Chlamydomonas reinhardtii: one gene and its partner. The main gene of each other region encodes a partner of the protein of the gene in region 2 in a complex. Links are inferred from orthologs where the notes say so. Each region holds a gene or a part of one and is shown on either strand. Other genes may lie near its edges.

What was found.
Region 1: CHLRE_01g011350v5 (region 2) and CHLRE_16g657000v5 share a complex: the UniProt entries of both Arabidopsis thaliana proteins name them as parts of the TFIID complex. The link is inferred for Chlamydomonas reinhardtii from reciprocal best matches to the Arabidopsis thaliana genes TAF11 and TAFII15.

Annotation. Positions count from the first base shown.
Region 1 is NC_057019.1:2,037,087-2,041,258, reverse strand, and holds CHLRE_16g657000v5 (uncharacterized protein), read right to left. Parts: upstream 2,786-4,172; 5' UTR 2,590-2,785; coding exon 2,384-2,589; intron 2,245-2,383; coding exon 2,182-2,244; intron 1,740-2,181; coding exon 1,622-1,739; intron 1,352-1,621; coding exon 1,274-1,351; 3' UTR 692-1,273; downstream 1-691. Other genes in the region: CHLRE_16g656950v5 (uncharacterized protein), read left to right, coding at 3,163-3,238, 3,325-3,451, 3,593-3,659, 3,733-3,780, 3,895-4,062. UniProt on the Arabidopsis thaliana protein: TAFs are components of the transcription factor IID (TFIID) complex that is essential for mediating regulation of RNA polymerase transcription.
Region 2 is NC_057004.1:2,098,471-2,102,902, reverse strand, and holds the start of CHLRE_01g011350v5 (uncharacterized protein), read right to left. Parts: upstream 2,888-4,432; 5' UTR 2,732-2,887; coding exon 2,589-2,731; intron 1,997-2,588; coding exon 1,915-1,996; intron 1,659-1,914; coding exon 1,507-1,658; intron 1,157-1,506; coding exon 1,072-1,156; intron 724-1,071; coding exon 624-723; intron 182-623; coding exon 36-181; 3' UTR 1-35. Other genes in the region: CHLRE_01g011300v5 (uncharacterized protein), read right to left, coding at 3,324-3,473, 3,744-3,914, 4,285-4,356. UniProt on the Arabidopsis thaliana protein: TAFs are components of the transcription factor IID (TFIID) complex that is essential for mediating regulation of RNA polymerase transcription.

The DNA of each region.
Region 1 (4,172 bases), on a different chromosome or scaffold from region 2:
GACTTCATCAGTAAATTTAACGAAACTGGTACCTGCCGTACTGGAGAATTTGGCGTGCACCAAGTAATGGTGCCAGTGCTTGCATACCAACAAGAGCAGACCTGCTCCTGTACGCGCGCTGCAAGGTGCATAGAATTGGATACTGCGCTTTGCCTTGTTTGAGTTGATGCATCATATGATCCCCGGTGGGCTGGTGGCAAGCACCGGCAGGGCATACATACAGCGTTGCAACTAACTGAAAGTAGGAGGCAGGGATCCATTGTGCAGACTCGGATGGGTTGTCGATCGAAATTCTGTGTATAGATTTGTCTAACGCGCTACCCTTGCAGCGGAGTGGAGAGAGTTTGCAAGGGGCACGTTCACTTGTACGGCAAGGGCGGGGTAGTGGGGAGGGGTGGACAGGTGAGGTACCGTGACTGTCGTCGTCTGTTCCTTGGGCCCCAAGCAATAAGTGATTGCGCAGAATGAAGGCGCCTCGATGCAATTATCGATGACGCTTCAAGTAAACGAATGCGCAATGTGGGCGCCGTTCACGCCTGCGGGCTGCGGCTTTGATGGATGGACTGAAATTGTAAGGGGAAGCATGAGCCCACCCTCCTTCTCCTGCCGTGCGCAGCCCTTCCATCCCGCTATTTTGGAGTCATTTGAACAGCATGCAGCAGTGCAACGACACAGCTGTAACGCCAGCTAGCGGGTGCTTGCTTTTAATTGCTTCAACGGTACTGCATAATGTGCCAGCGCAAGGTGCACGAAATACCTAGACGCGTTGGTTGACAGCAGTTACGATAAGTGATTGGTCGTGTCAGTCAGCCTAAATAGTCAAAAGCCCATGCAATCGTGCCCTCTGCACTTTTACTCACCTCTGTTAGCTAGCAGGGGCCACATCATTATCAACATCATAGTAAGCTATATCTCCCCCCCTCACCCCGCGGAAGGCCATGCACTTCGCGAACAAGGGGCCAAATGCCTGACACCCAAGGCACGCAACCTCACCTGCACGCAGCATCATCTACGCCTCGTCTCTTCGTGCTGCCGAGTTCACCGCACTCATCCACAATGAAGCTGTCCATCCATGACGCTAGCTGCTTACCAATCCCTGATGCATGTGCCTTCAACCCGGACACTTCACACGTCCATACCGACGGACGCACACGCCCGTACCAATGGCAGCTAGCCCCTAGTGCGCCGCTCAGCCCCTTCCAGCACCGCGACGCGCGCACCACCGAGGCTGTCAGTCCATGCATGTGCCCCTCACATGGGCCGTGGCCACCAGCTACCGCCTCCCGGCCGCTGCCTGGTCCTTGTCCCGCGCATCCACATAGTAGGGCGGGTTGCGGATGTTTACACCGTACTGCGCCGGCGAGCAGGGGCACGCAGCAGGGGCATTGTCACACCGACGCCGGCCAGCAGGCGGTGCAGCGTTATGAAGCGTGCAGAGAAGCACCCCGCGCGCACAAGCCACCGTGCCGGGCACAACACTTGTGCCGTTGTGCGTGTGTATGCATCGGCTGGACCAGCGCGGCGCAGAGCCGCCGCCGCCGCAGCCCAACCATCCACTCATTACGCACCCCTCCCCGGCGCTCTACCCATGCGCACCACCCTGTAGCCCTCCGGCGCGCACCTCCTGCTGCAGCGCCGCCGCCAGGTCTTCAGTCCGCAGCACGCGGCGCTTGTCCTTGGGGTCCAGCCCCGCCTCCTTCATGGCCTTGGGACCCGCGCCCCGCTTCATCTTGTGGTACCTACCAGACACACACACACACACACAGAACATGCACGCGTAATGCTTTACTTGTGCTCCTTATCACACACAGGAACATGCATCAGATGCATGTGTGTGTGTGTGTGTGTGTGTGTGTGTGTATAGCCGTGTTGGGCGGAAGGCTCAGGCCCCAAAGCGCCATGCCGTGCGCTGCCGTGTGCGGTAACAGGGGCGTGCTCCGTGCAGCCGCCCGCATTTGCAAACCATTTGTTTACATACAACTAGCGATAGACTTGGGGGCGTGCCAGCAACCGCCGCAGGCTTCCTTCTCCGTGCCCTATGTACTCCGGGCCGCTCCACCCGGCGGCCCCGGACCTCACTGAGCGACTCCACACCCAGCACAAAGCGCATCCACATCATACCGTGACCCGCAAATCATGGCTGGTGCGGTGCCGAGCGGCATGTCCAGGCAAGGGACTCACTGCATGGCGTCATTGAGCACAGTGGCCAGGAAGCGCTGGGATGCAAGGCTCACGACCTGGGTCCTGTGAGCGAACGGCACGTGCATGGCGGTAACAGACGCGCTTCAAGGACTGGCAACTGGTGGCGAATGCCGGCGCTCATGACGAGGTGAGATCCGCTGGGAACCGTGCTGCAGGTGCCGCCACCCCTGCACACACTCACAAACGCATGTCCTCATTTGCCTCCCGGTCGTCCGCGCTCATGTTGTACAGGATTGGCCCCTGACCGCTCTTGCGCATGTAGTACTGCACCAGCTGCGGGGGAACCACCAGCGGCGCCTCGGCGAGCCCGTTCAACACTTGCTCTGTGGAGGCGGGCAACGCGCCCGGCACGGCTGGTGCAGTCGGCGCGTTGCCCGGGGGCGGCATGTTGGCTGGCTACGAGTAACTTAATGTACAATGTTGTGATAAATTTCAAGGTACCGGGGACAAGAAGTAGCAAAGCGCAAAGCGAGCGAGGTCGGGAGAAGTTCGCGCGAGGGCCTTGGCACGTTGAAGGTGGGCAGGCTACATGGATATTGCAAGGAACTGTAAAGGAGACGTAGTGGTGCAACACGAGAACAAGGGCGGTTGGCGCTTGTGCTGCAATTGCCAGGCGCGAAGAAGCTCAGATGGGGGCAGGCCCTGATGACTGGAGTGTTGTCACCGTCCGGAGAACCTGTTGTCTACTGTATTTCACATTCTGTACATACACACCGATACAAACGCTCTGACATCCAACTGATTGACTGCGCAAAATCAACGACAGCAACCTTCGCAGAGTCAAGCAATCGTCTGAAGCGCCTTCACTCGCGTTTTCTCACGCTGTGGCCGCTAACGAGGCTTTGAAATGACCACAGCTCATCCAGATATACCATATCTGGCTGCAGCGCGGATGTATTGCTAGCGCCATTTCTGCATTTGTGTTCAACCGCACCGACACGGTTGCGGACGACACGCGACATGGCAGGCATTTACTCTCCAGCGGCATTCACAAGCCCCGCAAAGCCCTCTCCCGAGCCAGAGGAGGATGCTTCAGGCAAGTGTGTGCGCTACACTCTCCTGCGAGGTCGCTTCCCAGTGCGGGCACACAATCCAACCCTTAGCTTTTGTTCATTTGTACAGGTATTAGGGCTGCATCGACCACGTCTTCGCCGCGGCTGTTGGAATGGCCGTCACCGGGAATGCACTCACCCGGGAGAGGAAGTGTCTGTTCGCTGCAAGTGAAGCCCAATGAGTATGATGTTGCTAGGTGAGGGGGCTCTGGGTTGCCTCTTGCTCATTTGACGCCCAGGCGTGGACTTGAGCATGTCACACACATGCTGGGCAGGCTTGGCCATTTCCACGGTCCCCTCCAACAGCATGCCCGCCCTGGCGAATGCGATCGACGCAGGTTCTTCACTGCGCGCGACATTGTGGATCTGATCAACCAGCTGCATAAGGCAGCTAAGATTTCAGGGGTGAGCACCGGATTGCTGGCATGTGCTTCGGGACGCGACTCGTGCTGACCGGTCTGGTCACACCCGCACGCAGGATGAAGCCACCGGCATGCAAGGAGACGAGCAAGTAAACCGCATCAAGGTAATATCGTAGCACACTCAACCTGCATTGCCTTTGGTGGCCTTCCCTGTGCCTGGCGCCGCCCACATGCACCACGAACTGACATCAATTGCTCTTGCGCCGTCTGCCCTTCAGGCCAAATGCAGCAAAGTGTGCGGCATGTCCAACCGCCTCATCGACCTGTACGTGGGCACCATCAAGGCCAAGGTGGCGCGTATCCTGCGCAAGCTGGGCCTGGGCCAATCCAAAGGCCAGGACCTGCTGTACCACCACCTGAACCTCCTGCAGGCGCTGGTGGATAAGGTGCGCGCTGCGGCAGGGGGGGGGCGGCAGTGGCGGCGGAGCATATCGATGCAAATCAGATTGTGCGGGATGGGTAGGCCAGGCGCACAGCCCTTGAGGGCGTGCTGCGC
Region 2 (4,432 bases):
CGCTCCAACCCCGCCTCCCGCAGACAGTACCCCGTTCACCGGAACATGCGCCTGCCGCTGGGCGGCCCGCCGCGGCGTGTGTGTGGCAGCTTACCCAGGCCGCCTAGCTGCTGGTAGGCTCGGTGCACGTGGCGCGGCAGCAGCGGCCCGGTGTGTCCCTCCTGGGAGGCGCACACACGCGCTGCAGGAGGGGGGGGGGTTACATGCATTAAGTTTACGAAGTGAAGTCGTAGACAGGGACAGGAGGGGGGGGGCGGCGAGAGCGGGGCACGACGGTTGGGTTGGGTCGGGCGCAGTGCCCGGGTTACAAGGACACACGGTATGCTGTGCGCATGGCGTCTCAAGCGCGCGCGGCAGTAAAATGAACACGCAGGGCCCTGACAAGGCGGCCCGCGGCCCATGCACCCCCGCCCTTGGCAACCCCCGCTCTCGGCGCAATGCAACGGGTCTCGGCCTGCTTGGCGACCATGCAAGCCCTTGTGGCTCCGACGCCCTGTCCCCACGCCACGCCACGCCACGCCACGCCACGCCACGCCACGCCACGCCACGCCACGCCACGCCACGCCTCGCCAGCACCAAGCTGCCACAACCCGGCCCCCGCACCCCGCGCCGCGCGCCCTCACCCATCTCCACCAGCTCGCCCAGGAACAGCTTGCTGATGCCGCACATGGCGATGATGGCTCGCTCGTTGGGCACGGCGTTGCGCAGGATGGCCGTCATCAACTGCGTGAGCGTGGCGGGGGTCGGTTCGAGTGGGATAGGGGTTTGGTTCGAGTGTGATAGGGGTTTGGTTCGAGTGTGGTAGGGGTCAGGCATAGTGGGGCGGGGCGTCGTGTGTTGTGTTGTGTTGTGTGGTGTGGTGTTGTGTGGTGTGGTGTGGTGGGGTGTGGCGTGGCGTGGCGTGGTAGGTTCGAGAACGTGGGTTGCAAAGGTGTGCTGGAGCACTGTGCAGCAGTGCCCCAAAGGCTGTCGAGGTGCATGCGTGCACCGCACGCAGGGTGTGCCGCCGTGTGCGCCGCCCCCAACAGGCCCAGCGCTCCCACAGCTCCCGCACGCAGCCTCGGCCCCTACCTTCTTCATCTTGGGTTTGGGTATGGACGAGCGCATGAACGCCTCGAAGCGGCTCTTCTGCTGCTCCGTCAGGGAGTCAAACACCCTGCAGGACAGACGGGGGGGCAGTGGGTTGAGGCGCTGGCGAGGGCGCCCAACACAACGCATGAGACAAGCTCACAAGCTCACAAGCACGTGCACGCAGGCTGCACACCCTTCCCCTGTTGGTTGCGGTACAACCGGGAAGCACCCTGGCGCAGCAGCGCACGCACGCCGGTCAATCTCCCCGTCATAGCCTCGCGATCCTGTTCCCACCCGGTCCCCACCCCGTCCCCACCCGGCCCCCACCCTGCCCCCACCCGGTCCCCACCCGGGCCCCACCCGGCCCCCACCCTGCCCCCACCCGGGCCCCACTTTGGCCCCACCCCGGCCCCGTACCCCGGCCCCACAGCTCACTCCTTCTTGTAGGCTGCTGCCCGGTCAGGCGCCGCAGACGTCGGTGCTGCCGCCGCTGCCGCCTCCTCCGCCTGGCTTGGCCCGGCCGCTGCTGCGGGTTGCCCGCGGCCCCCCACGGCCCCCTGCCCGCCGTCCTTGAGAAGGCGGAACACCTGCAGAGGGCAGCGCGCACCACCAGTTAGCGACGATGCTAAACACTGCGAGACCGACAAAGCAGCGGCGGGGGTAGGCATGCATGGCCCGGGTTCCGCACTGTTGGCGGACGGAGCCAGGTGCCACTGGCCTTGACTACGGTGATAGCAGCAAGGCGGGGGCAGGGGGAGTGCTTGCGCCATCCCACAATAGCAGGGGGCCAGGATACATGCACAGGGTGCAGGGGATCAGGGGTCAGGGGGGCCAAGTGCTGACCTGCAGTGTGGAGTCGTCGTCGGGCTTGGTGGCGGGCTCGCCGCGTGCGGGCGCGTCCGTGTCGTCGTAGTCGTCCTCGTCCCTAGGGCGTGTGTGTGTGTGGGGAGTGTGTGTGTATGTGTGTGTGTGTACCCGTGTGTGTATGTGTGTGTGTGTGTGAGTGTGTGTGTGTGTGTGTGTGTGTGTGTGTGTGCGTGTGTGTATAAGTAAGTGTGTGTGTGTGAGTGAGTGAGTGAGTGAGTGTGTGTGTGTGTGTGTGTGTGTGTGTGTGTGTGTGTGTGTGTGTGTGAGTGAGTGAGTGAGTGTGTGTGTGTGTGTGTGTGTGTGTGTGTGTGTGTGTGTGTGTGTGTGTGTGTGTGTGTGTGTGTGTGTTTGCGGCGGGGCACCGCGGGCACGTGCGTTCTGGTCCGATAGTGGTGCCAGGGGGCTTGATGGAGGCACGTGAGCGACAGGTGGGCCGGCCGCACCGGGGCAACAGCAGCTGCAGGAATGGGCGTGGACACGCAAAGCAGCAACCTGGTGACCCCTAGAGGCCCCTGCCTGTGCCTCCCCACCCCTGTCCAGCTATCCCGTCTCACCCTGCCCAGGCTGCGCGCCCAGCCTGTGTAAACCCCCTGCACACATAACCTTCACCATCACAGCCACCCGTTGCCATGGCCTAAAGCCGGACTCACAAGCCTGGCCCTGCGCCCGCGGCCTCGCCGGCATCGCCAGCATCGCCCGCGCCCGCGCCATCGTCCGCGGTCGCTGGTGCCTCCTCAAACGCCTCCTCGAAGGCCGCTTCCAGTTCATCATCCAACTGCTCGTCTACGTCCATGTTGCTAGCTCAGCGGCTCGGAGAGCTTGAAGTTGTGTCAAGCAAACACAGTTTCTTGGGAATCAGAACTACGACTGGGCGCTTGTAGTTTTCTCTTTTTGCAGTTGAGGTCAAGCGCAAGTGATATTGTTCTGCGAGCCCGACAAACCGCTTTTTCTCAAATAATCAATTTCGGGTTTCCAACTTGAGCAGCGAAAGCGACGATGTATTGTAAGTTGAAACTTTACAAAAATTGTTTGTTTGGCACTGCAAAGGGAGGCCCATGGCCCATGTCGCCTGATTCTTCCCCATGCACGGACCCCCGGTGCCCACACGGCCACACGACGAGCCCAACAGCACACAGCGCCGCCGCGACATCGTGCTTGACCGGCAGTACCCCGCAGCGCTGCATTTGGTACACAGTGGCCCATTTGGCAATCCCGCTCACTTCGCCTCAACCCATTCTACCGTTATCACAACCTGCCGCCCTAGCTTCCCCAGACGTGAGCTGCCCATACGATACCTAGCTCCTTTGCTCACACAGTCACGCACGCCCCCTCCCCAGCCTCCCAACTACCTCCGACGCCATCGCCTGCTCACCACCCATCAAGCACTAAGAAAACTTTGCGCCCTCCAGCGCCGCCATGACCCAGCCCTCCATCATCTGCAGCGCCGCCGCCGGCTGGTCGTGCGGCACCATGTGACCGGCCCGATACACCACCACGTGCGTCAGCGGGCCGGCGGAGCGGCGCCAGCCAGCAGCCTGTGCGCAGCGACCAGCGGGTTGTAAAAGATTTGGATTGGAGCGTAGGGAAGCGGGTGGGGTTTGGAGGGAGTGGGCGGGGGAAGGGTACAGCGGGCACGGATGGGCACATGGGGTGGTGGTGGTGGGGAGGGGGGAGGGTCTGCCTCGCATCCGGATACTGTGTGGTGGCCCCGTGGATGTCCGAAGCGGAGACACGCGTCACCCACTCACCCACTTAACCACCCACCCACCCACCCACCCACCCACCCACCCAACCAACCCCCTCACCGGTTTCTGGCCGCGTGTGTCGGGGCTGATCCCGACCGCCGAGCGCGCCGCCGCACCGCCCGCAGCCGCGCCCTGCAGGTCTCGGCGCCCGTCGCCACCCTTGTCGTCATCGTGGTCGTCGTCGTCTGAGGCCAGGTACCAGAGGGAGCCCTGCGCCGTCTGCAGCTCCGCCTGCAGGGCAGGAAGGGTAAGCGGGAGGGGGGAGGGTGTAGATAGCAGCCCAAACTATAAACCAACCAAGGGGGAAAGGCAGGGTGTTGGTCGCTCGACACTTGGCCCCCCGGCTGTGACGCCGTGGTCGCCAACGGCGCGTCACTCCGCTGTTGGTTTAGCGCCGTCCCTTTCTCCAACATACGCCCGGTTAGCGCTTCCTCGACCACCCCACCGCCACCCTTGGCGTCTCATGTTCCTGACTGGGTTTGCTGTTGGTTTACCCTCCACCCCGCCAGGCTGCCACCAGTACCCATTAGCCATGACACCACCACCACTCAACCACCCCCACCACCATCAACCCACCACTAGGCCCCCTCCCCACACACACCTGGTGCTCCCACTCCAGCGCATCCGTCCAGGAGGTGACAGAGGCCACGCCGTCCAGAATGTCGTACTGACCCTGTGTGTGTGTGTGTGTGTGTGTGTGTGCGTGCGCGCGCGCGCGCGTGTGTGTGTGTACGGCAATCGGGTGTGTT